Linked DNA regions of Zea mays. The protein of the gene in region 2 binds, or shares a complex with, the protein of the main gene of each other region. Links are inferred from orthologs where the notes say so. Each region holds a gene or a part of one and is shown on either strand. Other genes may lie near its edges.

Evidence for each region.
Region 1: 50S ribosomal protein L24, chloroplastic-like (region 2) and 50S ribosomal protein 6, chloroplastic-like share a complex: the UniProt entries of both Arabidopsis thaliana proteins name them as parts of the 50S ribosomal subunit. The link is inferred for Zea mays from reciprocal best matches to the Arabidopsis thaliana genes RPL24 and PSRP6.

What each region holds. Positions count from the first base shown.
Region 1 is NC_050099.1:216,898,364-216,900,588, forward strand, and holds 50S ribosomal protein 6, chloroplastic-like, read right to left. Parts: upstream 1,073-2,225; 5' UTR 1,001-1,072; coding exon 635-1,000; 3' UTR 501-634; downstream 1-500.
Region 2 is NC_050100.1:50,135,466-50,140,120, reverse strand, and holds 50S ribosomal protein L24, chloroplastic-like, read left to right. Parts: upstream 1-1,672; 5' UTR 1,673-1,729; coding exon 1,730-1,858; intron 1,859-3,294; coding exon 3,295-3,333; intron 3,334-3,421; coding exon 3,422-3,649; intron 3,650-3,784; coding exon 3,785-3,967; 3' UTR 3,968-4,153; downstream 4,154-4,655. UniProt on the Arabidopsis thaliana protein: One of two assembly initiator proteins, it binds directly to the 5'-end of the 23S rRNA, where it nucleates assembly of the 50S subunit. Required for optimal plastid performance in terms of photosynthesis and growth.

The sequences.
Region 1 (2,225 bases), on a different chromosome or scaffold from region 2:
ACCATACTCATATCCAATGGATAATTATCCGCGGTTATTTACCCATACCCGTATCCATTGCCATCCCTAGGTAGGCAGGTAGCATATGGAATTCGCACAATCATGCTCCAACAAAAGCAACATTACAAACAACTAGGTTACTTCTAAAATTTCCTATCATTTGCAGTGTTCAATGGCTGTTCCTGCCATCTAAGCTGAGTTTACTGTTTACCGAACCTTCCCCAATATCAGGCAATTGTCCAAATCAAACAGAGCCAGCTCCTAAAGTCAAACAAGAGGCAGATGTCTTCGTTGGGCTGCTTGTTTTCCCCCCCTTTTGAAGACTATATTTGCGTAATCCATATCCCATCATAACTTAACTGGCAAACTATGGAGATGGAGTAGCTAATCACTCTGCAGTCTGCACTGCCACTGACGGCATGGAATAAGCGTTGCACACAGCATGCAACCAAGAAATCATCTAGCAACGCACTAAATTGGACGCGGTGACAGCCACAATCTGGACAGCAATGAAAGATTCTTAATTTATAATCACAAAATCTGGGCAGCCATTGTTATTATATAATAAATCTCAAAGAAAAACAGCTTATGCGGAGGTTCAAGGGAACAACTTTGGCGACACGCCGCGGCGGCCTCAGTCGGTGGCCGCGGCCACGTCGAGGACGAGAGTCGCGGCGGGTGCCGGGGCCTCCGCCTCCTCCACGTCCACCGTGGCGCCGGAGGCGACGAGCGTCCAGTCCGGCGGGAGCGGCGGCAGCGGCGGGTACTGCGTGGGGCGGCGCTTGATGTCCCACGGCTGCGTCTTCTTGGGCCGCGTCTTCATGTGGTGCTTGGTCCCCTTCTTCTGCGGCCGCGACGAGCACTCCACCGCCAGCGCCGCGCGCCCGCCGCCGTGGAGCGGGGAGAAGCCGACGGAGTAATGGCGGGCGTGCCTCGCTGGCGACGGGGCCGAGGCCGGCGGCACCACCGTGCCCGCCAGGAGTGCGGTGACAGGCGACATGCTCGCTGGTGCTGCGCTTTCGAGAGAGGCGGACGGGTAGGGTAGTAGTGTGGGTTGTGTTTGGGATAAGATGGGAGGAGGACTGTTTCGGATTGGGTTTTGTGATTGCGGGATTTGCTACGCTGAGCGAAATCTGGCCCACACTATGTGCGATCATCTGACCGCTCACTCATCGAGTGTTTTTCCTTTTTTATATCTCCACTTCTTTTAAAAAAAACTTGTAATTGTTTAGTCCCCTGCCCTCTTCTTATCATAAAATGCCATGTCACCTTTTTATATTATAAAATTCCGTGGTCTAAGATGTGCCGTTGATGAAGCTTCAACAAAACAAAATGAGGCTCACGGGTACATAATATATTTCTTTTGGTACAACGATCAGTTGTCTCCCGAATTTTGTTGAAAAATGTTTCGGCACAACTAGCTTGTACTTCTAAAGCTATCTCTAACTCATCTAGAGATGTTAATGGAGAATTCTCCATCGGGTTATAGCATCCCAAACTCATTCCTATCATATTTAGTCCATCCTCATACCCATTATGGGTGCAAAATTCATCTCATACTCATCCTCATTCGGGTTTTGGGTCCCCAATGGGTCCCCATCTCCAATTAACGCATGTTCAGGCACACCAATCCAGAAGGCGATTGGAGGGTATTAAATCCCCTCCTAGTCAATGGGAACCTCAAATCCCCATTGGGATTGGAGGGGATTGAGGTAGAAATAAACTAATTTTCTCTTCAATCCCCTTCAATCTTGAAGGGATTTGAGTTTCCAAACTAACCCTTAGTGCTACTTTGGGAACCTCAAATCCCCTTCAGGGTTGGAGGGGATTGGGGTGGAAATGAACTAATTTCCTCTCCAATCCCCTTCAATCCCGAAGAGGATGTGAGTTTCCAAACTAGCCAATAAGGGCTGATTTGGTGACCAGAGATTACGGCGGGATTTGAGAGAATTGAGGGGGAAATTAGTTCATTTCCCCTTCAATCCCCTCCAATCCTCCCGTGATCACCTTGTCACCAAATCAACCGAGTTGATTTGGTGACAAGGTGATCACGGGAGGATTGGAGGGGATTGAGGGGGAAATAAACTAATTTTCCCCTCAATCCCCTTCAATCCTCCCGGGATCCCGGGTCACCAAATCAGCCCTAAGAGGGGATTTAAACCCCTCCAATCCCCTTCTGGATTCGTGTAACCGAACAAGCCCTTAAGGGATAACTAGGTACTAAC
Region 2 (4,655 bases):
AGCACTAACTCATAGTGTTTTTAGTCTAAGAATAAGTACTAGATAGGATCATATGACATATATATAAACCTTGTTCAGTTGGTGAAGCGTGGGAAGCAACTGAACGCTGAGCTAGTGAGCTTCACTTGTCTTGGAAGCCCTTCCAACGTGCGTCTCTACTAAGTAACTCTTGTGGAGGCCACAAGGTGCAAAATCTCTATCACAGTGGGCAAATTAATCAACAACCGAAGGAAACTACTTGACATGTCTAGCTCCGAAACCTGTGAAAAAAAATGGTCCACATCTGGAGTGTCGCAAGCAAGTAGAGCTTTGCCCAGACAGATTGAGTTTTGCCCAGCACTCCAGCATCCATGCCTTAAAAGGTTATAGTTAGAAAGGGGGAGGATTGCTAAGCCCTTGCCAGTTAGCCACATAGAGAGAAGGCCTTATTATTAGATCATGCCATTTCTTTTCTTACAAAATTAACAAAGTGCAAAGCATTACTATGGCCACGAGGAACAGATAGCTACGAAATGAAACTGTCGCAATTATCATGGAAAAAAGCCACACATTTCCTTATCCATTTTGTTTGGTAGCGCCACATAGAAACAAAACTTCATGTCACGATTTGCATAGTTATCTCAACACATGTGGCGAATAGAAAAGGAGAAAGAGAAAAATAAACACAAGATTCTTAACCATAATAAGATATAATTTGTGTCGGGCATTTGCATAGTCACATGCTTATCCCATGGGGAACGTTAAAGGTTTGCTTGCACGGCAGGACCATTCCTGATTCCCTAGATGGTAGTTAGATGACGGCGATAGGAGCCGAGGCCCAACTGCCCAGTGATGTATTGGCCGTGTTGTTTATGTGATCTGTCATGGATGTCCTACTATGATTCAAGGATTTAGGACATGCGCAGAACTGCCAGCAATGAAAAGTCGAAGAAAGAGATATTGACTTCGAGGGGGAGAAATGTAGTCCACTATGAGAAAAGAGATACCCAATGTCTCTGGAGAAAAAGATCTGAGGTAAACACGTCTAACTTGCAACCATGATTTGCAATAGAGAAATCCGATTGACATCCCACCCTTTCTCGGTGCAGGATGGGACCTGCAGCAGCAAAAGCGCAAAGCTTCGATGTCACCGCCATCCACCTACCCTCCATCGCCCAAACTGTCTCTGTCTCTGTAACGCGAATTTTATTTTACACAACAGCAAAGTGAAAAACTGGAGTAGGGGGTTCGCTTGCCTCAGCAACCGTCGCGTAGCTTGCGCGCCTCGGCGCTGGAACGGGGAATCTGGAGGCGGGCACGCATCTCCCAAGCAATCTCGCGTGGCCTCGCGTAGCGTGCGAGGAGACACGCAGAGAGGGAGGGAGAGAGAAAGAGAGCCTTGACCCCGCCGTCCTCGTCCTGTCGTCCTGATAGCTGATGCAGTGATGCTGATCAGCTGATGCGTGCGGAGCTCGCTCGTGGAGCCGAGGCCCTAGCCTGTAGCCTCTCACGGCGGTAGAACGAGCACCCATGGGCCTCACTGGATCACCTAAGCGTCTTCCAGGCCCATCTGTGCCTCACCTGAGGCCTGTCTCATTTAGTGACGAGGCCCAACCCACCAGCGTCAGAATACAAGAGCGCGTTATCCTCTCTCTTCCGGTTCCGGGCAACTCGAAGAAGCCGCGTGCGTTATCCTTTGAGCAGTTTGGGCGCTGAGCAAGTCCAGTGAGAGAGGGAGAGCGGCGAGAGGATGGCTGGGATGGCATCGCTGCAGGGCGCCATGGCGTCGCTCTCCATCTCCGCGCTAGGCGCGGCGACGGCGAGCAGCAGCAGCTTCTGGGGCAACCGGCTCGCCACCTACTCCGCGCCGCAGCCTGGGGTCTGTTCCTGCTTCCCAATTCCGTTCCGTTCTGCTGATGGTTTGGTAGATAATAAGTAGCTGTTCTGGTGAAAGATTTTACTCTGGAGTTTCTGGATAGCGTTGCAAAGCGCGGTCGGATGGAATTGTTCTAGGGACATTCGAGCTTGCATTACGGTTTTGGAGCTAGTCTGTATGGATTGGATGCAATGAAATGGAAAATTACCTTTGCATTGTTATTAATTGTGCATTTTCAAGGATGACAAACCAGGCTTCTAATATGACTATGTTTAGGGGTGTTTGACATCACTCTAGAGCAAAACTTTAAGGAAGACCTGGACAAAGTCAACTAAACACCCTAATTCTAGAGTTGCAAACTCTATAGAGTTTTGAGAGTTGTAGTATAATTTTTTGGAGTACATTTTTTGCTACTTTGAAAAATCCTTCAAAAACAATCAAGACACATCCAATGCACTGGTTATGAGAAAGCAATCTACACTTCGGAGCAGATATACTTCACCCAAAGTTTTGGAGTAGAACTATGCCAAACTCGCCCTTATTAGATTTCATATTACATTAAGTTTCTATTTGCTCCACGACACACACTAAATTTAGACCGTGTCCATATTGAATTTCGTCTACCTTCTTTTTTTATTTTTATCTTGCATGGAAGCTTAAATGGTAAGATTTGAGTGCGCCAAATAGATTAACTGATTGGGATTAATTTAAGTAAGAGAATTTCCTTTGTCATTGGTAATCCGGTATTGTCCTTTTTGCATATACAACTATGCACATGTTTGCCTTTTAGTGCTAATAGAGAGTATGCTGTGTTTCATGTGGTAAAATTTGTTCGAGTACTCTTTATTTAGTTTGTTAACTGAGGAAATTATGTTGCTTTTGAAGCGGTCAAAATGTCAACTGAAGAAATTATGTTGCCCTCAATGTGCCACTGATTTTGTTTATATATATTTATGCCTGAATTACCCCACATCACACAATACATATGACTAACTGGAAACAAAATTTGGCGCCAAATAGTGTATTATGAGCATAATGATGTTTGTATTTGAACCCTGCTTTCTTTTCTGTGTCATCTTTATTATGCCTTACCTGTATGTACTTGTGCCTGGAAAATTCCCAACTGATAAGAATCGGATGAGGATAAACCTTTCTGTTAAGAAGCAAAAGCAAGTAAAGAATAGATAGTGAGGTCAAGTAATCACTGTTGAAGGAAGTGATAGAACCACTGTATTTTAAGGGATATCGTATTACTCAAACATAAAGAGGAGCCCTGGATCCTGTAGTGTCTTGATCAGATCAACATGAATCGTAACCACTGTGTTTGAGTCATGCCATATCTCAGAAGCATCTGATTAGTGTCTCTTTGATTTGAAATGGAATCTTATGTCTTTAGGATGTGAAGTTCTGACAAGCTGTTTAATATGTTCAATATGCAGGTAAGGTTTATGGTCAAGATATGCCCAATTGAAATGAGAGTGAGTAAAAAAAATCTTTAGTCCAAATATTTGATACCTTTTTTATCCAATAATGTGAAATGTCCTAAAACTTCACTTTCCACTGCAGCTTAAGAGATGGGAGCGAAAGAAGTGTAAACCAAACAGTCTTCCTGTGCTGCACAAGATGCATGTTAGGATCGGGGACACGGTACAGGTTATTGCAGGCCGTGAGAAAGGAAAGGTTGGAGAAGTCACACGCCTTTTCAAGCACAACAGCACGGTGATCGTGAAGGACCTGAACTTGAAGTCGAAGCACAAGAAAGGCACAGACGATGAACCCGGTGAAATCGTCATGGTCAGCAAAATTTCTATTGAACTTGTTTTTTGGGCCTCTCATGATGCTTTGCACATATTGGTTTCAAGAGCATATCTGTAGTTTTAGTAGGTGCCTAATCGTTCTCTTGATCAGACTTAAATTTTCTTTGATCAGATTGAAGGCCCCATTCATAGCTCAAATGTGATGCTCTACTCTAAGGAGAAGAGTGTGGTAAGCAGGGTTGGCCACAAATTCCTGGAGGACGGGACCAAGGTCCGATACCTGGTCAAGACCGGTGAAGTAATCGACAGTGTTGAGAAGTGGGTAAAGGTTTTTAAGGAAGGAAATTCGGAGTAACAGTTTTAGCATGAAAACCTGCAAAATGCTCTGAACGCTGACTGCGTCTTGCATGTTGAATTGAGCCTGTTTATCCCTCTATGTTGTTATTTACGCCAGTTTTTCCCCCTGTAAATTATACAGTTGTCACCAAATCTTGCAACGCAAGTCAATGCGCATCAGCATATGCTGATCTTGTTCCGCTTCACCAGTCAGAGTTTTGGATGAAAAACTATGAGGGCATGTTCGGTTACAGTAATCCAGAGGGGGATTGGAGGGGATTAAATCCCCTCCTAGTCATTTTTGACTAGGAGAGGATTTAATCCCCTCCAATCCCCCTCTGGATTGGTGTAACCGAACAAGCCCTGAACGGGCTTGTATGTGCGGGCAGCCCGTGTTCGTTTGCAGCTCTGGACCCACTACTCTCGGTCTCGTCCTCACTTCCTCAGAAATATCCACATATATCATTTCCTATATTACAAAGGCATATTACAAAGGCGAAGTAACCTGTGCACATGAAGCAATAGTGCACATATAACATCTCAGTCTCTAATCTTCGATCAAACGGTTGCATCTCCCAACTCCGCATTTTATTAGAAAACACCCTCCACCTCTCCTGAATCCCTCTGAATCTTTGATGAACCCCCCAAGCTCCCTGTGCGCCAGAAACAACTATGATCCTTATTTCTGGCCGCCGCCCCATGTATTC